Mus musculus: one gene and its partners. The protein of the gene in region 1 interacts with the protein of each later gene in a pairwise test. Links are inferred from orthologs where the notes say so. Each region holds a gene or a part of one and is shown on either strand. Other genes may lie near its edges.

What was found.
Region 2: the proteins of Egfr (region 1) and Tpi1 interact in a protein complementation assay, tested with the Homo sapiens proteins (2 studies listed by BioGRID and IntAct). The link is inferred for Mus musculus from reciprocal best matches to the Homo sapiens genes EGFR and TPI1.
Region 3: the proteins of Egfr (region 1) and Mdh1 interact in a protein complementation assay, tested with the Homo sapiens proteins (2 studies listed by BioGRID and IntAct). The link is inferred for Mus musculus from reciprocal best matches to the Homo sapiens genes EGFR and MDH1.
Region 4: the proteins of Egfr (region 1) and Hdac7 interact in binary tests that used the Homo sapiens proteins (3 or more experiments, as listed by UniProt). The link is inferred for Mus musculus from reciprocal best matches to the Homo sapiens genes EGFR and HDAC7.

Annotation. Positions count from the first base shown.
Region 1 is NC_000077.6:16,866,423-16,871,894, reverse strand, and holds part of Egfr (epidermal growth factor receptor isoform 1 precursor), read right to left. Parts: intron 4,665-5,472; coding exon 4,596-4,664; intron 3,788-4,595; coding exon 3,669-3,787; intron 2,677-3,668; coding exon 2,535-2,676; intron 920-2,534; coding exon 803-919; intron 313-802; coding exon 186-312; intron 94-185; coding exon 20-93; intron 1-19. UniProt on the Homo sapiens protein: Receptor tyrosine kinase binding ligands of the EGF family and activating several signaling cascades to convert extracellular cues into appropriate cellular responses.
Region 2 is NC_000072.6:124,810,549-124,816,737, forward strand, and holds Tpi1 (triosephosphate isomerase), read right to left. Parts: upstream 3,611-6,189; 5' UTR 3,575-3,610; coding exon 3,460-3,574; intron 2,366-3,459; coding exon 2,242-2,365; intron 2,158-2,241; coding exon 2,073-2,157; intron 1,989-2,072; coding exon 1,856-1,988; intron 1,420-1,855; coding exon 1,334-1,419; intron 1,057-1,333; coding exon 969-1,056; intron 840-968; coding exon 721-839; 3' UTR 38-720; downstream 1-37. Other genes in the region: Usp5 (ubiquitin carboxyl-terminal hydrolase 5), read right to left, coding at 5,018-5,111. UniProt on the Homo sapiens protein: Triosephosphate isomerase is an extremely efficient metabolic enzyme that catalyzes the interconversion between dihydroxyacetone phosphate (DHAP) and D-glyceraldehyde-3-phosphate (G3P) in glycolysis and gluconeogenesis.
Region 3 is NC_000077.6:21,568,325-21,574,237, forward strand, and holds the start of Mdh1 (malate dehydrogenase, cytoplasmic), read right to left. Parts: upstream 3,611-5,913; 5' UTR 3,409-3,610; coding exon 3,406-3,408; intron 1-3,405. UniProt on the Homo sapiens protein: Catalyzes the reduction of aromatic alpha-keto acids in the presence of NADH. Plays essential roles in the malate-aspartate shuttle and the tricarboxylic acid cycle, important in mitochondrial NADH supply for oxidative phosphorylation.
Region 4 is NC_000081.6:97,827,886-97,834,058, reverse strand, and holds the start of Hdac7 (histone deacetylase 7), read left to right. Parts: upstream 1-2,563; 5' UTR 2,564-2,681; coding exon 2,682-2,700; intron 2,701-2,753; exon of another isoform or gene 2,754-3,373; intron 3,374-6,173. UniProt on the Homo sapiens protein: Responsible for the deacetylation of lysine residues on the N-terminal part of the core histones (H2A, H2B, H3 and H4).

The DNA.
Region 1 (5,472 bases):
TGCACACCCGAGTACAAACCTGTTATTTCCTTTACGGTTTTTAGAATTTCTAGTTCTCGTGGGTCTAGAGGAGGAGTGCGCGTGAAAGAATCCCTGAAACAGACAGCAACGTGATTATTGGACACTCTCCGTGGCTTAAAGCAGATTCTACAGTTCTTCATCCAGATGGCTCAGCTGTTACTCACCCCTTAAAGGCCACTGGCAGGATGTGAAGGTCCCCGCTGATGGCAGTGCAGTATTTGAAGTGTTTGATGTTTGTAGCATTTATGGAGAGTGTGTCTTTAAATTCACCAATGCCTATGCCATTACAAACTGTTAAGAGAGATGTGAATTAAGAATGTGAATTAAGAAGGCTGGGTCTGCACAAGCGGAAGCAAGAACCCTGCTACCGTGCACTATTGATTCATCCCAACAACCCTGAGGGGACCCTCCAGGTGCCAGGACTCCTGTGACAGGCTTCGCTGTTCCCTTCAGTCACTGGAGTGGCACTTGGGCTGTCCTTGTCACAGACCTCTGTCAGATTTGAATGTTCTGGCTGTACTGAATCTAGTCACTCACAAAGACATTGGCTCCGCCTCTCTCTGGCTACAACAGTTCACCCACCTGGGCTGCAGGTGGCGCCTCTGTACCTGGTTCAAGAGAACTCCCCCACCTCCACCATGCAATTTGGCTTTGCAAGTTTACCTTCTACTTTCCAGACAAAATAAATATATTTTTTTAAAAAAAGATTAAAAGGTGGGTTTATTTGGAGGTGGCCATAAGAGTTCGGCACAAAGATCAAGAAAAAAACCCTACTGCTTACCTTTGCGACAGGGCCCATCACATTTTTTACACTTGCGGATGCCATCTTCTTCCACTTCGTAGTAGTCAGGCCCACAGGCTCGGACACATGAGCCATGATCTGTCACCACGTAGTTTCCTGAGGAAGAGGCAATGAAAAGAAGGTGTTGAAGGCTACAGCAGGTGCTCCTAACCTTCCACAAACATCCTCATGTCCTGCTGTGTATGGGCTGCTAAAAAGGTCCCTCTTAGTTTGGTTGACTTCTCTTTGAGGAGAAAGACTGACAGATTTCAAGTAGAAGAGGAACCAAGCTCTAGTCTAATGGCTTTTCTGACAGTAATGTGGACAAACACAGATACTTGATCTCAGGTGCAAAACAGCTATGAGAGGAAACACCACCATGCGTGTTCACTGGCTGAAAGCCCCTTGCTGAATATGAATTTCCTCTGACAGGTCTATGCTTAGAATATACAAGGAAACCTAAGATATGTAGTACACACACACTAATGCTTATCAGACAGACCATGTCCCATTGAGGTAACTACAGTTTCTTCTGTTTGATACCAGCTTTGCCCTTCCCCACCCATCCACCATGCAGTTCTTGGTGGGACAACGAGGGGACCAGTTTGTTCTGCTTCCTAGACAGGCGCCCCAATCTTTCTCTCCACTCCCTTCACCTTTATGTAGTCTAACCTAATTAATATTTATGATTACAGTATTACTAGAAACTCTATGCTCCTATTTTGAGTTTCTGAAATACATGCTCAAAATGTGGGCATTGGTACTATATCTGTGAGTCATATGCTCTTGTCATCATAGGTTTTGTTTCCTGCAGAGTTTAAAGATCTGTTACTAAGCCTTCACACAAAGATTCTATCTATGGCATGACTGTCATGAGTTTTTCTTCATCTTAGTTTTCCATTTACCTTATTCTCTAGCTCTCCCTCTTCCTCCCCCTCTCCCTCCCCCTCTCCCTCCCCCTCTCTCTCCCTCTCCCTCTTCCTCCCCTCCCCTCTCTGTGTGTGTTTTCTAATGGGACTTCAATCACCTAAATCTAGGTAGGCAAAATCTCACCCTTATAGTTTCCACTTTACATTTTTTTTTGTCTTAATTTACTTTCTAGAAGTCAAGATTGGTTTTAAGGCTCTTTATGAGTTGTTTCACTTTCTCTGTTTGGGACCGATCTATGTTGCCATTTTCCTATAGGTACCATAGAGTACCATCATACATGAATAAAACTTGAACCCAAATGAGTAAATCAAAGCAAACCCAAAACCAAAATACTCCAAGAGCCCAGCCATAGCCCTAAATTCTTCTCCTCAAGGGGGTGGGTCTGCTGCCTTTTCTAATTTAGGTCTGTTTAATGCAGAGTCAAACAATGCAGAGTCAAACAAAGGTTGTCCCAGAGGGTCACGACCTTGTGTTAGTCAGCTCCAAGACACTCCAGGTTACTGAAGCTTCCTCTCTGACTTGGGGTGAAGCGATAGGTGGTTTGTACTATACAGTCTGGCTGCCAGCAACACTGGATCAGTGCAGGTCAAGCCACCCTTTAAAGGAAGGCATCCTGACTGCTGCAGGCTGCCTCTGCCTCCATTGCTCAGCACTGAGTGGGGTTCTCATCCTTGCACCTGTCCAGGCAGACACTAGCCTACAGGACAACAAGGCAAGCACAGTGGCTGCCTCCAAACTGCCCAGGACTCTAGCATAAGACAGAAGAGGAAATGAGGACTGTTGGGTGAAAGGGCAAACTCACGGGGGCACTTCTTCACACAGGTGGCACCAAAGCTGTACTTCCCTTCAGGGTTGACATCCATCTGATAGGTGGTGGGGTTGTACAGCATGAGTGGTGGGCAGGTGTCTTTGCATGTGGCCTCATCTTGGAACTTTTGGCAGACCTGTCATAGGAGGGACAACATGTCTGGTCAAGGATGTGGCATCCAAATGAAAGGAACCCAGTGCCAGGCAGCCTGCAGGTCAGTGGGACAGTGACAGTTTTCGGTGTTTTACATGCTCAATTAGAGAGGAAAAATGTCTAGTAAGCCTTTCCAGGATAGTCAGAAACACCTTCCTCTTATGAGTACTAAGTATACATTTTTAAGTATACTGACTGTCTCAATTGATACAGCCTAGGGTTTGTGGTTAAAAAAAAGGTAATAATGAAATCTACACATGATATTGGAAAGTATGCTGTAACTATTTTTAAACTCAGTTTTTACTGGGTTTCTTTCATAAAGAACACTATAAGAATATATTTTATAATTTATGGACAAACTGCAGAAATCTTAGCAAGAAGATTCCATGTAGAGAGCTGTTGGATCTTTCTAAGAACTCCATTTGTAGTTTTATCCCCGGGCTGCCCATTTGAATCAGACCAGACTACCCAGGTGAAAAAAAAAAAAGATGCCTGGAGCTAGGTTTAGTTTATAGAATTTAAGAATCTTCTGTTCCAGAATGATAGAATACTCTAGACTCTACCTTTAGGTGGACTTCCTTTTCTGGAGCCTAATGGAGTTTGCTTGGGTTGGCAAGGACCCCAGGAATCACATTCACTAACCCCTGACAGCTGCAAAGTTAACACTAGAGCTTTCACCAGAGGTAGAGGGTCTGAGGGGAGACACTGTGGGATGGGGTAGGATTAGGAGGGGAGCAGCCCAAGAGGCATGAAAATATGGTGTGCACATGCCATACTGCCCAAAGGTCTGGGTAACTGGGATGGTTCTCAGGGGGTCTTACAGAAGAAGAGCTCCCTTCATTTCTCATAATGTTGCTACTGTTGTCCATGACAACACTTAATTAAAATGTGCACCACATGAAGGCTGCTGTCACAGTCAGATGTCGAGCACGTGCACAGCTCTGCAGCACAACTCCCCAGTAGCCAGAGTCTTACCAGACAGTCACTCTCTCGGGGCCCTGTACACCCCGCAGCACATTGGTTGTGGCAGCAGTCACTGGGGGACCTGCCACGACAGCGATGGGAACATTGCTGGGCACAGATGATTTTGGTCACTGAAAAAGAAAGATTACCAGTGAGCTGTGTTTAAGTGGCAGCTCATCTTCTAGAGACACCAAGGAATGCTTGCACCCAGTAGAAAGAAATAAAGGAGGAACCATGGGTTTTGTGACAGGGAGCAGCTTCTAGGCTTTCACAGTCAGCCAAACAATATAATCACAACTTTCCCCTTGGTACATTTTTATCATTTATCTCAAATCACTTGGGAGAAATAATCGAAACAAGTCTGATCAGATCTTTTGAATAAGTAGATATTATCTAGGGAATTTCTGGCAATACAGAAGGCACATAGCAAGAAGAGCTCCTGGCAGGAGGCAGTGTTTAAAGGAACGAGATAGTTAGGTCACAAAGGCAATGAACTACAGTCAATTTTGAAGCTGACACACGCCCAGGTTCTTTGAGTGAAGCAGTAACCATGCTGAAGTAAATTAAACTTTGTTTTTTAAGTTAGTAGGATTCACACATGAACTCTGTGGAGCAACACCGTCAAACTTCTATATTAGTTGGCTCTGGAAAACGGGGAGGATTGGATCAGGGGACAAGGCATCCTGTGTGTCACCATGGACACTTGGGTGGTTGGCTTTCTTGCATTTAATGACAGGTTAAATTATCCCACGTAGTAAGCCTTAGATAGTTGTGCACTGTGATGTTTCCAAGACTGATGCTCATGAAGTGGTTAACTCTGAGTCTTTTGCCAAGCTCCTGTACTTGTTCAGTCACAAAGCGGAGGAGTGGAGGACCACATACTGTGTGGACTCCCTCACCAGGGCATGTTTCTCAGGCCCTGATGCTGCACTGACTTACATTTCTGGCAGTTCTCCTCTCCTCCTCCCCAGCAGCTTCCATTGGGACAGCTTGGATCACATTTGGGGCCTGAAATAAAAATCAAGTAGTTAAATGTGCATTTCAATAAAAGTAACAAATAACACGCAACTGACAACTCTCTCAAGGTCCTAAAGAATGTCCTAGAAATGAGGAACAGCTTGGAAACTTTGTATTCATAGTTGGGTTGGATGCTTTGTAAGCTAAATTAAAGGACTCCTGCACAAAAGAAAAAATGGTGAGCCTTGGGCTGCTTTTGCTTGTACTTCAGCTGTGGAAGCTGAGACAGAGGTTACTTACTGACTTGTCACAGCCACACAAATGACAAAGCTAATGAATTTAGGGTTTCGGAGGTGCCACCTGATTAGGCTTCTCTCTAACCAGATCCGCTCAATGTACACTTATGCACCTTGCTACATTCAGTCTTGACTGACTGTGTGGGGCAATCATCACTAGATATTTAGGATGTTATGTTGAGTCTGGTAAATGAACACTCCTTTCCTCCAAGCCATGAAGTGGTGCAGAACATGACACAGGAAGCGAACATTCTAATTCTGTGAGTCACTTGGCTAATCACCTAAAACCTTAGTTAATAGCTGGCATACTACTGTCTGGAAATCTTTGTAATTGCTAAATATTTGTATTTTTATAGTTGGTCAATATCAAGTTGCAGCTGCAAAGGGTTTCTATTCAGCCATTAATCATCCTGAGAACTGACGATCAACATGTTGACCAGCACAGATGTTGAGAATTTCTTTCTGGGAAGCACATTTACTTTTCTCGCCTTCACTTTTTTGTGGTGCTGCTTACTTACCACCTCCATTAGGCTTGTAGAGACCACTCTGCTTAGTTCTGTAGC
Region 2 (6,189 bases), on another chromosome or scaffold:
ATGATATTAAACACCATGGCAGCCTGGGACAAAGAGGTTTTTGAAGTAAAAAATGAGATGTATTGTCACAACCTGTTTCATTATTGTTTTTTGTTTTGTTTTACACTCCCCCACCCCAGGCTAGAGCCCCATCACTGTCTTAAGGAATTATGACAACCCACAAAGCTCAGGCCCAGGTGTTTATTTCCCTTACATGTAGGATGGTTCACAAACACAATACAGGGGCTTTGGCACCGTGGGGGAGGGGACTATCCCAGGCCTCTTAGGGTCTCATGTATACCGAATTCAGACCCGAAAGCTCTGAATTTCTGCATCAGACATCCAGTAGAACTTGGGAGTGAAGCTAGAGCCAAGGCCATCTAAGTGACAGGCCAAAGTGACACGAAGCCCACTTCCTGTGCTCCAACCATGAGTTTCCAGCCCAAACCAATGGAAGGTGATTTCACTTGTCAGGGCCCAAAGGGACAGTCAGTTCTACTCCCTCCCCTCACTAGGAGCCACCTTGGTGACAGTTGATTCTACCCACTGTAAGTGGTAAAGGGATTGGCCTGGTCCCAACCATAATAGGGCGGTGGAAACGGCTCAGGAGGGTACAGCGTGGATTAGGCCACAAGATGGGGCAGATGATGTCATCAGAAGCATGTGACCGGTGGGAGCAGTTACTAAACTTCTGGGCAACCTAGTCCATGCTATGCAGGCAGGTAGAGGGATGGGCAGTGCTCATTGTTTGGCATTGATGATGTCCACAAATTCAGGCTTGAGAGATGCGCCACCCACAAGGAAGCCGTCCACGTCAGGCTGGCTTGCCAGCTCTTTGCAGGTTGCTCCAGTCACAGAACCTGTACCAGGAACAAGAAGACAGTTTGGTCAGGTCTATGATCAGAACACTTAAGCCCCACCTCTCTGTGCAAGGCAGCCTCAGTCTGTCTTAGCCCATTTCCGTCTTAGCTAGAGCCAAAGCCACTCACCTCCATAAATGATCCGGGTGCTCTGAGCCACCCCATCATTGACATTGGATTTCAGCCATCCCCGGAGCTTCTCGTGTACTTCCTGTGCCTAGAAGGAGGAGGCAGAGCTACTAAGTAAGCTCCTTCCTATCTATCATTCAAGGAGTAAAAACCACTGGTTCTCACATAGAGTTGAGTTTCCAGAAAAGCCCCGGGACCAGAGAGTGGCAAGGCTCCAATCCCACCAGGCTTGGAATGAACATTTTTGGCAAAGTCACTCTCCTTGGTGAGTTTGGGGGCCCTCTGTCTCTAAAGGGGCTTGGATGGGCTCCATAGCTGTGTGAGTCTGTTAAAGCCGGACAGGCTGAGGAGCTCTGGGTAGTTACCTGCTGAGGGGTTGCCGTCTTGCCAGTCCCAATGGCCCACACAGGTTCATAGGCCAGGACCACCTTGCTCCAGTCTTTCACATTATCTGTGGGGCAGAGAGGAGAGTGAGTAGGAAGGAGCTGACCCGCCAAGCTCTCCTGTTATAACAGTTATGGCCTACAGCCCCTGGTGGGCTTCTCCTTCCCCCTTTTAGAAACAACTTGTGCGTGCGTGTGTGCGCGTGCGTGTGTACAAGCTATAGCACACATATGAGGGCAGAGGACAACTTGTAGAAGCTGGATCTTTCCTACCACGTGGCTGTCTTTGGAGGACTCAAACTCAGGGCCTCAGGCTTTACCCACAGACCCTGCTAGCTTTTGAAGGTGGGGTTTGAGCCTTCTGTAGGAACAGTGACAAGAACCATTCAGGTCGCCCTCTTTCCCCGGGGTCAGTATGACTCAGGCAGGCTGTGGGACCTTTGACCTCCCGCCTCCATCCCTGTGGCCTTTGCTAGACTCAGAGAGCCGTGTCTGCAGAGATACCTGCGATGACCTTGGTTTGCTCGAACACGACCTTCTCGGTGATGCCGGCTTCCCTTTCGTCTAGCTTCTCCCCGATGCAGGCGATCACCCCGAGTCCCTCTGCTAGGGCGTGGCTCACTTTCTGGCCAATCAGCTGTTGAAGAACAAATGCTAGGTAGGTAAGATACCCTCTCCCCCAGGATCAAAGCATCCCCTATCTCCCCTCCTGTTTACTGACCTCATCTGATTCTCCAAAGACATGTCTTCTTTCTGAGTGCCCCAGCACGACCCAGGTGGCTCCTAAGTCTTTGATCATGCCAGGGCTAAAACAAACACACACCAAAGTTCGGCAAGAAGCCCTCACGAGGAAGGTTTTCCCTCTACATCCCTCTCTGCCTCCATCTCACCTGATTTCCCCAGTGAAGGCCCCATTGGTCACTTTGTAGCAGTTCTGTGCGGCCACAGCAATTTTGGGATCCAGCTTCTGTCTGGCAAAGTCGATGTAAGCGGTGGGCGGTGCACAAACCACCTCTGAGGACGAGATCAGAGAAAGCCCCTCACTCTTCAGGCTCCCGGTCTTGCATTCACTTTCTTGGTTCTACTTTCCTTCGTTTTTCAGTCCAGAAAGTTGACCTTTGTCCACTACAGAGCCCAGGCTAGGCCTGTAGCAATACCAGAGCCTTCCCAATGCCTCTGATAGGCCACGGCCCTTACCCTGCCCTCTGCTCTTTTAACAGCTGTGGCTCTAATTTCCTCAGGCTATTCTGGGAATGGGCATCTCCTCGACTCAGCATTCTCCAGGGGTAACCCCTTTCTAAAATAGCCCATCCCACATACCCATCCCGGGAAGGATTTTTTAGCATAAGAGGTCCACCGCGGGAGTTTGTATTGGGCTCTTCGGGAAATGGATGATCAGAGAGAATACCCTTTGGCCATTCTCCAGGTTCCCCGATTTAGGTGGGTAGAAGCGGGAAGGATGGAGGGGTAGTGTCGTGAGCAGCAGGGAACTGACTAGCCCACAGAGACCTTGTGTTTTCCTATTTCCAGTCTGAGAAGAGCTGAATTTTTTTTTTTTTTAATTCCCCAACGGCTCAGCATGTTTGGCATCTGCTAGGGGCCTAAGGTGGAAGGCAGGAGTGGCCCATGCTGTGAAGGATAGGGATGTGGAAGCCCCCAGCTCAGAGGCCTAAGCATACGACGGCGCGGGGAGGAGTTTCGGGCTACGTGCAGAGACGCACGGAGCCAGAGGCCGAGGGGGCAGGTAGCTGAGAGCCCGCGCAAGCTCAGCTTCCTCCCTCACAATCTGGGGGACACGTGCCACTTGCTTATCCAACCCGACACTGGTTCTTCTTCTCGACCCTAACCCCTAACTGGTGCAGCTCCGGTCCACTCCCAAGGGCGATCTTCTTTGCACCCTGCCCCCAACCCCAAGAACCCCTTTCGGGCCCCACAAACCCAGTGCAGCATTTAAATGCTTTTCCTCTTCAGCAAGTCTCTGCTGCCGGGACACCAAATGGCTCTTGTCCCCAGGCCACCATCCAGGTCCACTCAGACACTGAGCAGGTGGTGCCACGCCCGACCCTCCACCCCCACGTCCCGCCGCCCCTGCTAAACAGAGAGCTCACCGGTGCCTGCCGGCACGTTGGCTGCGTTCAGGGTGCAGATGAGTTCTCCCAGGCACTTCTTCCTCCCGTTCATCTTCCAGTTGCCCCCAACGAAGAACTTCCTGGTAGGCGCCATTGTACCAGGCTCAAGTCTCTGAAGGTCAGTACAAACGCACGGCTCTCTCCACTGGCCACTTATATAGATGGCTGTGAAGCAGAACTCCTCCTTCTCCCCGCCCTCCGCCATGGTTAGCCCGGCCCCTTGCTGCTCCGCCTTCCCCTCCATCTGCCTCTCCACCTCCCGGTGTTTCGACGTTCTGGCGTTCTAGAGCAATCAATGTTCTAGAGGGTTCAGGGGGCTCAAACGTCCTGCCTCAGTGGCTCGACAGTTGAGATGTTGAACCTCGCGCTCAGGGAAACAAACTTTTTGGGATTTCAGAAGACCAAGGGGCATTTCCTGTGGAGGTGACAGCAGCAGGGCCTTGGACCCTGGGGTTGAGGGCACCTTTCCAACTCCGAAAGCGCCCCATTCCCTCATAGCATAAAGCAAAGTCACGGTTGAGGAGCCCTTCCAGTAATCACAAGGAAGGGGGCCAAGTGTGTCACCAACGTCGCTGGTGATTACGGGGTCCTTGCAGTTGTCAGACCTTGGCCAAATGGAGCAGAGTGGGACACTAGTGTGTGGGGGGCAGGGAGGGAGGCAGGCTGGCTGCAGCCGTGTAAAGGAGTCAGCTGATATCAGTCAGTGTGGACTGCCCACCCTGCCCTAGGTCCTTCATTTGCCCAGCAACAGTGGGGCTAGACCAAGTGCATGGTCAGTTGGGGGGGGGGGGGTGATGCAGCCTCGCTTCTGAATTTTCCCTTTATTTCCCATCCCCCCACCTCAGTTTTCTGAGCATTTCTAGAGCTAGAGAAAAGGAAATTGCCTGGGGGGGGGGGACGGCAAAGGACCCCAGTTGGGCCTCTCTAAACCTTCCCCTTCCAGTAATCCTCCCCAGAACTAGTAAGTCTCCCCCAAAGAACTGAAACCAGTCAGCCCCCGTACTTTTATTCACATCATGTATTTTGGCATTTTTCCAGAGGACCATAAAGACAGACCGGAGGCTGAGGCAGAAGGGCAAAGGGTGTGGGGAGGGTCCTATTTCCCTCAGAGCCTCCTCTGCCCCACCACAAGGGAGCAAACACTTAAGGGGAGGGGAGGCGCAGTCGCTCCCTCCCCTGGAAAGATGCATAAAGCCACATCCACACACACACACAGGTAAGAGCCCGCCCCACATCAGGGGTTGGGCCATCACAGAGAAGCAGAGCACTGTGGATTCAAGGGGCAGGGGAAGGAAGCAACAAGGTCCCACTGTGGACAGGCAGTTGGCCCCTCCTGTCCCATCCCTGCTCTGTCCCCAGAGTCTAATGAGTACCCCTCCTCTTTGTTTGGCCATTCTCCTATGACCTCCAGCTCCTTCCCACTGCTGGGGACAAAAACAAAAAGGGTACAGAGCAGGGGCTGAAGTCCATCCCTCAGCCGTCCCTCATGCCAGATGGTCTGTCCCCTGCTTCAAGTGGAAGGGCTGAGGGCAGGCTCTTAGCTGACCACTCTCTGGTAGAAGTAGATGTAGCCCAGGTCCTTGGGTGGCTTTTCAGAGGCACACACTTTCTGGTCATTGTAGATCACCCACCTGGGGAGTGGGGAAAGGGACAGAGAAGGGTGAGCGGTGGGCTCTCCACATCAACCTGGAGGGGCTTCTGGGAAGGATCCCGACTGATTCTATGCCACATCCCCAAATCTACCATCCAGCTAGCATCTAAATGGAGCTTCGAAATCTTATTTTCCCATTTGATGACCTCAGATTGTTCATTTAGAGACAGGGTCCCAACAAACCTGGCTGTCCTGGAACCCTATATAAGCCAGGCTGGCCACAAACTCAGAAATCTAGCTACTTCTGCCTCCCCAATGCTGGTATTAAATGTGTGTATGACTACATCCAGGCAACTGTATTTGTTTTTGTTTTTCGAGACAGGGTTTCTCTCAGTAGTCCTGGAACTCACTCTGTAGACCGGCTAACCTCGAACTCATACATCCACACCCCCCAACCCTGCACTGCCTCCCAAGTGCTGGGATTAAAACTGTGTGCCACTATGCCCAGCATGTATTCTGCAAAATTGTAATTATTTTGTACTAATAACCACTTGAACCATGGTGTGAATAGAGATCTTAGGGAAGTTTTCTGGTTCCACCTCAGGCTGTCAGGACTTTCCTCACTGGGGACTGTGTTTTACACTCTCCTTCCACCCATTCCTGTGAAGCTAGGGGAGCAGGAGAGACCACGGGCTAATATCCATTTTAACAAAGGATTCGTTTTTAAAGTAAGAGAGTGCGTGCGTGTGTGTGTGTGTGTGTGTGTGTGTGTGTGTGTGTGTGTCTCAGACATAAGTGCAGGTGCCTATGAGGGCCAGAAGGTGCCAGATTCCCTGGAAGGTGTGGTGGATGGTTGTTAGCCTTCATTTGGGTGCTGGAAACTGAACCTAGGTTTTCTGCAAAGAGTGGAAAGTGTTCTTCGCTAACAAGCATCTCTATAGCCCACCCCAGCCCCTTTGGAGACAGGGTTTCACAGAGCACAGGATCGCTTAAACCTCATTCGCCATGGAGCCAAAGATGAGCTTCAACTGCTGGCTCCCCTGCCTCCACCTCAACACTAACACTGAAGCCATAAGCCACTACACACAGCTACTGACCACCATTTTCATGGAGAAATT
Region 3 (5,913 bases), about 4.7 Mb from region 1:
ATAACCAAAAGATAAAACCTCAGAAATCTATGGAGAAAAATTCTCTTTGATACCTAGATTTCTTTCCTACTTTTTCCTTATCACTAGATACATTAAATTTAATACCTAAATAAGCCAACTTTAATAAAATATGCATCTATATTAATATGTACTTAATAAAACATGTATCTATGTCCAAAATAAACTGCATGAATGAATAGAACACACTATTCTATATGGTTATTTTCTGCTATACATAGCTTTACAAGACTTATATTCTGATATTACCAGGAACTATTACTAACTATTACAGACCAATCTTTAATCCTGTATATGTATTTCATCTTGTTATCTTTCTTTTGAAGTTAAGAAATGAGAAGGGAGAGGCTGTTCCCTATCCTCTGGGTTTTGCCTATTTCTCAATCTTCCTACAATCTGAATTCTAGCCACTGTTACATCCCACCAGGTAGATAAAAACAGGTACACAGCTGGAACTCAAATACTTGCTTAAGAAGTAGCTCCATTGCCTAAGTAAGCTTCCACAAAGACTGAAATGCACACAGCTGGAAGGAGAGTGAATGAATGTGCTTTTTAAAAGTGAAGGTGTTTCAGCCAGGCAGTGGAGTACACACCTTTAACCCCAGCAGTTATATATCTACACATCTGTCATCTAGGCTAGAGTGTGAGGTTCTCCTCAGAGCAGTTTTCCTTTGACTAAAATTTGTGCTCTTCATACAGGTTTCAATGTAAACTGTCATGTAAATGAATAACATAAGGGTGAAGCTAAAAGGTAGTCAAAAAAAAAAAAAAAAAAAAAAGATAAAACAAAAACAAAAGCACACTGCCACCAGGCATGGTGACGTGTGGCGGCAATCCTAGGGCTGATAGGGGAACAGGAAGTTGAGATTTCTAAGAGTAAGGCCGGTGTGGGCTACTGTGAGACTCTAAAACAACAAAAGATCACCACTGCCCAAAGCCCCCAAGTTCAACTTGAACAACGTGAGGGAAGCTGGGTAAGAACGGAGGGGAAAGTGCCAATCTCCTCTTAAAGTTCAACCTAGTCTAGCTGATGGCCAGGACAGTATTATGTAGCCATTTATTAAAAACGTGTTCCCAGTATCACAGCCTGTAGTGAAGAGGCTGTGGCCAAGAATCAACAGTTAATTCTATCCTAGCAGTTTCCTTCTGTGCCTGGTGACTTCCGGCTTAAGGGGTTACCTTAGTATTTGAAGGTCTGATGATGAAGTAGGTAAAGGAGACACCAGTTTGGTTCCTCCTGCTTTCCTGAGATACTGCAGTTGAGAAGCAGGGGGGAGGAGAGCCTCACTGACTTGTCACACACAGTGTAACAGTGCCAGTGTGGGTTACTATTCTCTGCTCAGATATCTGGGCATGTTGCCAACACCCAAAAAGGAATGGCTTCTCTCTTGCGGGGCATTAATGACCTTCCTGCGGTTACAGGCTGCTTTGAGAATGTATTGTTTAGTTGTAAAGCTTTAAGTTTTCCCTCTGTTATTCCCCAGAATAGCATTCTCTTTTTACTTTCTATTTGCACATTTTTCTGCAATATAAAAGACAAACAGTATCATTCAGATTCCTCTAGGTGTCCTTAGCTGATTCCCCTATGGACAATGACAGAGTTCCTTTTAAAAAGGATTTGAATTGTCAAAAAAAAAAAAAAAAGGACAGCTTTTTTTTTCTTTCTTTCTTTTTTTTTTTTTTTTTTTTTTCTTTTCTTTTTTTATGAGACAGGGTCTCCCTGTGCAGCCCTGGCTGGCCTGGAACTTAGTATGTAGTCCAAGCTGGTTTTGAAATCACAGAGCCTCCCAAGAGCTGGGATTTAGGACGTGTACCACCACGGTGACTGGAACTGACAGGTCTTTTCTAAAGCAGCAATTTGCTTGCATCCTCTTCCCAGGAGGCAAGATGGTTATGAATCATGTGAGACTGCAACATCACAGAACTCTTCTACCTGGAACAACTCATGTCTTCTGGCCCAGATGTGACCTTCTAAGGGTGAGGCCAGTTCCATCTAGTGAATAACAAACTCTACACTCTAACTAGGGGCCCTGGATCTCTCTGACCTTGGGAAATCAAGGACCATGACAGGCTGTTTTAAGATTAGATGAAACAATCCTTAAATGCCCCTTTAACTTCAGAATTTCAACACTCTGAATGACATGTAACAAAGCTATCAGATGTTACATGCTGATTCTGTGGACTTATTTCCTAAAGGGGATTATGAAGTGATTTGCCAAACACATAATACAATCCTGGTAAATGGGAAGAACAAGAGACCCTAGGTGCAAGCCTTATGACCTTGAGCAACTCGCATTCTGAGTCTCAACAAATTAAATTTTAGTATTTAAAGTGGGGTTTTGGATAAGATGATTGTAAAAAGGTTTTCATATAGGCCTAACAGCCTAAAGTCTGAAGTTCTTGGATAACTAGTGCCACTTTATTACTAAAATTATTAAGACAGAGACTGCTTAAGCCATAATTTAAATAACTACTTATGTGTCAAAATAACTAGGCAACAATGACTGGAAATTAGTAATTATTCCCTTAGGGTTTCTTATAGAGATTGAGGGAGTTTTTGTCCTTGTTTGAAAACATGTCTCCTTGGGTTCTGTGAAATTTCCAATTCATCCAAAAATTTTCAATTCATCTCACATTTCCCATCTTGATATTAAAGGACAACACGTATTTTTAAAATGTAAATTTCAAAGTACTTAGCAATTTCCAGTCTGGTGGCAAATGTCACCTTCAAACAGCATGAAGATTAGTCCTACGTCAGAGCTCTCTTTCACGTCACCCCCCTCCGCCCGCTGAGGACAAGATAGATCTAGAGCTTCAACAAGATGGTTACGTTACATCTGCAAGGAGGCCTTCAGAATTTATGACAGAGTAGTAAAGAATATCGGCACTGTTTGACTAGCGATGCTAGTCCTGTCATTACAAACGGAGATCAAGAATAGGTTTTCAGTAACATTTGTTTTCTTTTAAATCAAATATGGTGGAAACATGTCTCCTGAAAACTGGGATCATAACCTGGAGCACTACCGGTAAATCAACATCAGAGGCCTATTCTTTCCAAGAGCTTAAGAGGCAAAATAGTGTTAGGACCTAATTCTTCCCCTCCCATAATTCTCATCCCCCACAACAAATCCTTTAAGGTCCTTCGGAGAAAATTTTGTCCCTCCTGCGCAAGGACTGAGACCCGACTTTCCAAGGACAGTGATTTCTCTAGAGTCCTTGCGAACCCCTTTCCAGTATCTGGGTTACTGCGACAGTCGTGAGAATGAGTCAGATTTTGCAAACCGCGCGGAGGACAGCTCCCGGCATTACTGCTTTTTAAAAGCGCATCAAGCGCAGGAGGAGGCCGAGAGGCCGGAGCTGCTGCAGGTTCCAGGAGCCCACACTCACCATTATTGCAAACTGCAAGGCCGATCTCTGCACCTGCAAAAGGCAGTCTCCAGCAGTCAGGTCACCTCTACAGCGGAACAGACTCTGGGAGAGAACGCGGGGCTGGCCCGCAAAGGTTCGGCTGGAGACACGGCCCTTTCTGGGAAGTGTAGTTCTTCCGGCGACCTCTGGCGCCCACCTTCGTGCATTCCTGACAGTGCTAAACTACAATTCCCCCAAACCCCTTCTTCCTACGCGCCTCGCTGCAAAGTAGTCCCGGGGCTGAGCCTCGGTGATTGGAGCGCGTCTGTGAGCAGAGGGTTGGTGCTTTGAGTGAGGCGCCTGCCTGATGGCGCTCAGCAATTGGCAGGAGAGGAGGCGTTAACTCGAGGGAGGAGAAACGACCCCTGAGCGACAGCACACGTCGCTCCACCGAGAATCTATCCTCCCCCAAGACTAAACAAGGGCGGCTAAGAGACCTTCCGTTGCTTAAAGCCCGCTCGACCCGGAAACAAAACCTTTTAAAAACTCTCTCAGAGGCGGGAGGAATTGACGCTTGCGGAAGAACGGGCAGCTTCACCGTTGCTAGGCGACGAGGCAGCCTCACCTGAGCGCTCTCCAGACCAAGAGCTTGTGGAGCTGTGTTCTCACGTCCCAGGCTGGTGAGCTCGGCCCCGAGGGTTTTTATCTGGGGGTCAGAACAGGGTGCGGCACTGATGCGCGTATCCTGAATCCGAAGCCGGTGGTTGTGGGCGACCTCCGGAGTCCCCTGTTAGTGTCAGGAGCGTGTGGATGCCACAGTTTTCAGGAGGGACGAAGAGTGTCTTGCAGTTTGAGTCAGTGTAACTTTTCCAAAGTAAAGTCAGAAAGTTTTGTTTGTGGAGTGAGCCCCTTCCTTGTGTTTACTTGTGGTGTACCGATCTAATTTTCTTTGCCGACTGTGAATATTGACACTTTTTGCTCATTCTCTTTTTGGAAACCTGTTACTTCCAGGGGAAGTTGGGAGACACTGATTGTTTCAGGCGAAATGTTAGCAGCTAAAACATCTCAAGAGGCTTTCATTTAAAATGAAAGTTGTTAAGGGAAATCTGTATTCTCCGTTTGTTGTACGGATATTCGAAAACATGTGCCTTGGAACAGACCAATGAATATGCTCTTGGTCTAACGTCAGAATTTTCTGTCACTATTAAATGGATGGTGGATGGCTTCAGTTTTGTTTTTGGAAGATTTAGTATTTGGAGAGAGAAATATGATGCCTTAGTCAGGGCTTCTATTTCTGCGATGAAACACCATGACCAAAAGCAGGTTAGGGGAAAGGATTTATTTGGCCTACTCTTCCACATTTTGGCCCATCATTCGAGGAACTCAGAATAAGTAGGAATATGGAGGGCATGAGCTGTTGCAGAGACCATGGAGGAGTGCTGCTTATTGGTTTGTTCCTCATGGCTTGCTAAGTCTGCTTCTTTATAGAACCCAGGACCACCAGCCCAGAGATGGCAGCACCCATAAAGGACTGGGCTCTTCCCCATCAATCTGTAATTAAGAAAATGCCCTATGGGCTTGTCTACAGCCCGATCTTTATGGTGGAAGCATTTTTCTTTTCAATTGAGAATTCCTCTTAACTTAAGACTGACTGTAGCTTGTGTCTGGTTGACATAAAACTAGCCACTTCTGGGTCCAATAGCATTTAGGTTTCAATAGACTGTAGGGTACTTGAATGACTCCTAGAATCACTTTATTCATTTGATGCCTTAATTTTGTTCTTGAGCACTGATCTTTTTATAATGGAATGCTTCCTGTGTCTCTGTCCACATTTAGTTCATTTGTGGGTTGCATTTCTAAATGTTACCTCTGTGTCAGGGACTCTCAAATTCCAGGGCATGTCTCTGTAGTTTCTGTTTCTTCTTGGTTTTCTAATAGGCATTAGTTCTGTTACTTTATAGTACTTCCTACTGAACAACCATATGTGCAAATATCACACTCTAGAGATAGCATGACTTGCCTCCAGTTTCACTTGATGGTTGAGGGAGAGATTACAGGATTTTCAAGTGAAGAGAGAAGGGCTGGAGCTGATTTGATAGTGATTGTTCTAATCTGCTCTGGGACTTTAGGATAGCAGTTTTAGTTACTGCCTTTCAGGAACCACTGTAGCATGAAACAAAACTCTGTAATTCCTAATGGTAACATGGTGGTCTGGTGAGTAATTGTTGAAAGATGTGCTCTGTTTTGGTGGGCTGGTTAGTTTTCATCAGTTTAACACAAACTTGAGTCACTGAGAGGGAGAGAATCTCCCGAGTTCTGGGATTAAAGGCGTGTGCCACCACTATTGCTGGCTGTTTTAGGGTTATTATTGCAGTAACTTAGGGAGGAAAGGGTCTTTTTGGCTCATGTGTCCACATTATGTCATTGTTCATCATTGAAGGAATCAAGACAGGAGTTCAAATATATGGTAGCTGAACAAATCAGTAAGCAGAATTTTTCTATGGTCTTTGCTTCAGTTTCTGCCTTGGGTTCCATTAGTGGTAAAGT
Region 4 (6,173 bases), on another chromosome or scaffold:
GGAGGTAGCTTGGATTTTTCTGTCGTATATCTATCTCTAGAGGTCCCAGGAGGCTAACATGTGCCACCAGGGAACATGGAACTTAGCATTGGCTTGGGAATCCATTGTGAGGCAGGGGATATTGGAGTCATAGGTAACTCTGGCAGCATCCCAGAAACATCTGGCTCAGCACCCCAGAAACATACCGCAAGTGCTGGTCTCCTCTCTGCCTACATTTTGCAGGCAGTGAGTCCTGATGTGAACCGAAAGCCACAGGTGACCATTGTGAGCATAGACGGGTGGTGAGCATAGATGGGTGGCCACACATCTTTATCCCAATCACTCAGAAGTCAGTGGTTAGACTGAAGAGAAGAGGTAGCTTCAGGAGCAGATGCACGGATGCTGCGCCAGTAGAAATTAACGAACAAGAAATTCAGCACAGAAACAGCTTTAGGAAAGGAAGATGTGGGGGCAATGTACGGTTACAGGAGGAGAGAGATAACAAGAGAGATTGGGGGTCCTCTGTACACAGGTTTCTTTTTTCCCCTGAAGTCTGTAACCCTCACGGAAGTCGTTGGAAGTAGAGTGCTCTGGTTTGGAAAGACAGCTCAGTGGATGAGGAAGTGTCTAGCAGAGCCAGAATGGACAACTTCCGACAGAGGGTCTATTAGAGATGTCTAGCTGGAGGGAGATCTTGGAAGGTCATGAATATTCATGAGTCAATGAAGAACTCGGAAGCCACGCTGAGGCAGTGCTTCCAAGCTAGGTACCTTGAACACTTGTGATAAAGAAGAGATTCAGACTCATAGACTAGACAGCTGAGGGTCAGTGCGGCTGGGAGAAAATCAGTGCTGGGGTGGAGTCCTTCAAGGGAAAGAAAATCCTTCCGGCTGAGGCTACAGAAATCGTGAAACATTTCAGAGGAGATGAAGGGATTTCAACAACAGAAGGGAGAAAGGTAGAGCGGCATTTACTCTGTAGGGAGTGTCTTAGGCCAAGGCAAGGAAGTGGGTAAGTATGGGGACATGAACAGCTAGCTGACAGGGCTGGCTGTGGTAGTAATAACGGTAACTACCTCTGAGCAAAGTACCAGGAGACACTGGGCAGGGATGTGTGTGGTGCCACATTGCAAGAGGCCATGGATGCTAGGGCAAGGTTGTAGTACCCATTAACAGGTACAGAGGAGTTACACTTAGCAGCTGAACAAGGGCACATGAGTCTAGACCTGTGTGTGACCTAGCAACATGGCCAACGTCCCTCTAGGCCACTCAAGACTCTGGCTTCCAAGATATCACATCTCTAGGTCTGCCTCATTTTCCCCTTCTAAAGGTTCTTGGAGTTCCGAGGACTCAGAGAGTAGATTGGGACCAGAAGGAAGCTGCCTTTCAGTGGCGGGCACCTCAAGGGCAGGGGAGCATAGTGTTCCTGGTGAATGACCGCTCTCCCTTCCCAGTTTTCTGACCTGCCAAATTGCTGGAGGCAACAGGACTGACAGGCCAAGCCAGGAAACTCAGTGGGAAGGTCCTCGGCCCCTGACCCTTGAATCTGACCTCCTCCCGTCTAAGATGGGGGAGAGGCAGGGAGGGCTTCAGTGCAAAGCCAGTCCTCAGCTGAGTTTATTAGCTGAGGGAGGGCTGGAGGCGGCTGCATTCCGACTCACAGACTGGAACATTTCTGTGATCCGCTGTAATGCACTGGGGGACACTGGGCACATTGCTGAAGTTTGACTCATAGGGTCCAGGAGTGGGGGGGCAAAGGAGGGTCATTGTGGAGGGAGAGGAATGGAAGAGGAAGAGGAGAGGATGGAAGGAAATCCCTTGAGAAAAATTTTTTTTAAGTTTCGAAAACTGCACCACCCCCCATCCCCTTTTTTTTTTCTTTTAATAGGAACAGACTGGACCCTTCTGCTCCCCTCAGCAGACAGTGGGGGCGGGGGGTGCCACTGGGGTTGGACTGGCAGTGGTTCAAATCAGATCCTGAAGTGTTCCTGAGGAGAGTCGTGTGTGTGTGTGTGTGTGTGTGTGTGTGTGTGTGTGTGGTGTGTGTGTGTTAGGATGGGGCAGGGGTGTCCGTCTGGGATTCCTTGCTCGAGACTCCAAGCGTGCCCTGCTCTCCCTGTGTGTAGCGCTGCCCTCGTTGACTTAAGTGTGTAGATGTGTGCACAGGAGTCCTTCCCCGAAGCGTAAAGCACCCTGGCTTGTGTAAACATGGATGCACGCCCGTGTACGCTGTGTATGCACGGGTGCGTGCACTCAGGTATCTGGGTTTCCGGGAATTGTGCGCGGGGCGCAGCGCCGCGCGGCGGCTGGGGCTTCCGCGGCCGCGCGCGGGTCCGGCCGCGTCCCGCGTTCCGGGTTCGGCGCTGCCTCCCGGGCGGTGAGCCGCGCCCCGCCGCGATCGGTGTCTGCCGCCAGGCTGTGTGCTGCTGAGCGAAGCCCGGGTGGTGTGTCCCAGGGCCGCCAGCGCCGGCCCCCTCCCTCCCCTCCCCCTTGGCCCGCTCTCAGACTCAGATAAAGCATTTCCTTCCATTGTCATCCTACCCGGCCGGCCAGGCTGCCAGGGCCCTCCCCCTCCCGGCCCCCTCCCTTCCTCTCGCCGTCTCACAGTCGCTCTGCAGCCTCCGGCGACCGGGGGGATGTGAGGCCGGCGCCCCGGCCCCCCGCCCGCCATGAGCCCCCGGCTCTGAGGGCCCCGGCCCCTGGATGCACAGCCCCGGCGCGGGTGAGTACCGGGCGGCCACCCCCTCCCCGTCCGCCCCGCCCTGCGCGCGGCACCCTGCGCTGCTCGCCCCGGCTCCCGCTCCGGCTGCGGCTGGGTCTCCGGCCGGTCCGGCTGGCCGGGTCCTCCGCGCGCCCTGGACCGCGCCCGCTCGCCCGGGCTCTGGCCCGCTCGCTGCCCCGGCTGGTTCCGGGGCCGAAGGGCTCCGGCCTCCTGCGGGGCGCCCACATCCGCCCGCTCCCGGGCAGCGACAGGCCCCGGGGAGGCAGTGGGAGGCCCGGGGCCGCCTGTGCAAGGGCCGGGCGTCCCGTCACCCTCCTCCCCGGGATCCGGGAGGCACGGCCGGCCGCCGAGGCCCGGGAGGGGGCGGTGCTCCGGGACCAAAGGTTTGGAAGCGGGAGGGCAAAGGCTAGGACCCACTGAACTGGCGCAGAACTTGCAGGGCTGGACATCAGCGCCCCTGTCTTGTAGAACTGGGCAGGGCCCTACTCAGATCCTGTAGCTGAGGGAAACGTCCCCTGGAGGGGTACTGGGCTGGGAGATTTCTCTGAGCATCACCCCTTATCCTTGATCACCCATCATAGAGAGACAGACACTGTGTTCAGCCTAGCAGTGAGGACAGTTAAAGGCGTGGGGAAGTGGGGGCCGCAGGCTGAGTACTGAGAGAGGTAGGGAGGTGGGGAGCTGGATCTAGCCCCCCCACCCCCACCCACCCCCAGTCTGATAGTACTGAGAAGTATGAGAACCCGGGCAAATCTGGCAACTGAACTGTCTTTTCGCCACTGCGATTTCTCCGCCAATTGAGTTGGAAGAAAAACCTAAGTCCTGCATGCAGGTCGCTTAATGAGTCCCACTTATTTCTCACTGGCTGCCGGTTTGGGGCCGACTTAGGGCTGACCATTGGTTCCCTGAACTATCCTTGCTGGCTGTCCAGCACTCCCCCAAAGCATCCTGCATCATCTGGCGGGGTTGGCTTGCTGCTAAGTATCCCTTCCCACATCCCAACGCAGCATCTGCTTGAGGCCCAGTTCTGCCTGCCAAAGTTTCAGGGTGATAATAGGACATTGGCCCTCGGTGGCCCTGGAGGGAGTGCAACATCTGGAATCAGGAGCTAGTCCTCCAGACTTTTACCTAGATTTGCTCAAATTCCATTGCAGACTGTCACTTTGGTTGGTTTCTATCCTCTAACTTGTACTTAGGTGACCCATTTCTTCCCAAGAGGACCCCCATGGGCTGCGGTCGTGCCTCCCCTCTGTGCCAACCTTCCGAGCCTCTTCTCCATCCGCCGCAAATCATCCTTCACTCTTAACCTCCTTGCTCTCTGCAGCCTCACGTCTCCCCTCAGTAACTAAGTACTTTTCTTCTTTACAGTGATTCCTGGGGGGGAAATGAGGCACAAAGCAGTTCCAGTGTATGGTACCCAGATAACTGAGATTGGACCAAGTCCTGAACCCAATGGGGCTGAGGCTTGTGTCTCTGTCTTTAGTTTTATGATGTCCTTTCCAAGCTAGACCCTCAGAGCTGTGCGTTGGAAAAGCTAGGTACAGGGTGCATCTGAGCCCCCTGCTGCTCAGTTTGGCCCCTTAGCTGGGGCATTTTTCTGTGTCTCAAGGGCATATGCTGAGCTTTGAGGCAAAGAAGGTTTCTCTTCTAAGCAGGTCACCTTACTTAAGCAGGCTTTTCTCAAAATTAACATGATAAGGTGGGTGGGTGGGGAGGATTCTCAGTTCACTTTCCAAAGCTCAGAGCTAGAGGGACCAACCGCACATAGCCAGTCAGTAATCCACGGGGAGTAAGGGAACAGGCAGAGCCTCCTGTGTCCTTGTCTCAGGGATAATGGTTCTCACCTATCTAGTTCCTAGTGGCTCAGTTGTGATGGGATTGGAAATGAGGACCTTTTTATAGCTGTAGGCACACTTCTTTCTTGGCCTTCTTTGCTCTTTGCCTTTCTTTAAGAACTGGTCGTTTCAACGTTGACAGGAGCCCCCAGAGAAAGGTGAGCTAATAATGTAAGGCCCAGAGTCACCTAGCCAAGGAATGGCACCAACCAGACCGGCCTCTGCCAGCATCTATTCTGAGCTCTTCCTTGGTTAGATGTGGTCTGGAGGCTGCAGGAGAGTATGGGGTATTGCAGGGCTTGAAGGCAGGTCCCCTTGGAGGCGCCAGCTCCAGGACTTTGAGTTTGTATATGTTGGATTTGTTCACTAGATGGGGCACTTCCTCTGGGGCAGGAAGCCTTGATTTCCTGTGTTGGGGGGTGGGTAGGGACCAGGAGTGAGGGGCCCAGTGCACCATCCCTGATGTTGTTTGGAACCACAGAAGGGCAGAGCTTTCGCTTGAAGCAGCTTCCCTAATCCAGGGGAGACAGGAAGGAGAGCTCTGGCGGGGAGGCCCAGGTTGAGGCTAGGGAAGGCTCTAAGTGCCATGAGCTGGGGGGTGGGTAGCGCAGCAGGAAGCCTGGTGAGCAGGTGACTCTGCCGGGTATTGTATTCCTTATAATATTTTCCCTGTTTCTGTGGTAACATTCCATGGGGGCCTCAGGCCTTAGGGCTGCAGGAAGGCACTCCAGACAGCCCTTTCCTTAGTGGCCCCACGTACTGGGAGCCCCCACATCTAGCTACTCCCTAAGCCTTTTGCTCTGTAGGACCAGGGCCTGAGAATCCAGTCAACTGGCCTGACCAAGCACTGACTCCGGGCCCCATGATGTCTCCTGGTGGGCAAGGGAAGAGAACTGGGCTGGATTTGGGGGGTGTCTCCAAGCAGATTAGAATACCACTCTCAGCCTCTGCCTCACCTTATCCCATCTTTCTCTCTTCTACCCTCCTCCAGTCATTCAAGGGGCTGTGGACCACGAGCCAGCTGCCTGGGGCAAGGGGTGGGGGTGGTAGAGGCAGGAGGGATGTTTTCATCAGCAGAGCATGGCTCCTTTAGTTCTGGACCTGTTCCCAGAGGCAAAATAAATTCAGGCTAGCATCTGTTTAGTGTGAGCCTCCGTGTGATATGTGCGTATGCACTGGGTGTGTGGTGGGTGTCTGTGTTTGCCCAGGGCTGTGTGTGTGTCGATGTGGTGGTTCTGTGGCAATCTGTGATCCATGTGCTGGCTCTGGTGGGTGTTTGGGGGTATGCACACATGTGGCACAGATGTGTGTCTTCTGTGTCATGTGCACCTTTGTAAGTTATGGCTCTGTGTCGGGTATATAGTGCCTATAGACAGGTTTTAGGGATTGTGTACCTATGTAAGACTTTTACACGTGTCCAGATCTTGACTTGTAAAAGCACAGCCCATGGTTTTTGTCCTTTTTTTCTCTCTCTTTCCCTTTCTCTCTCTCTCTCTCTCTCTCTCTTTCTTTCTTTCTCTCTCTCTCTTTCCCTTTCTTTCTTTCTTTCTTTCTTTCTTTCTTTCTTTCTTCTTTCTTTCTTTCTTTCTTTCTTTCTTTCTTTCTTTCTTTCTTTCTTTCTTCCTTTGTTAGTTTGTT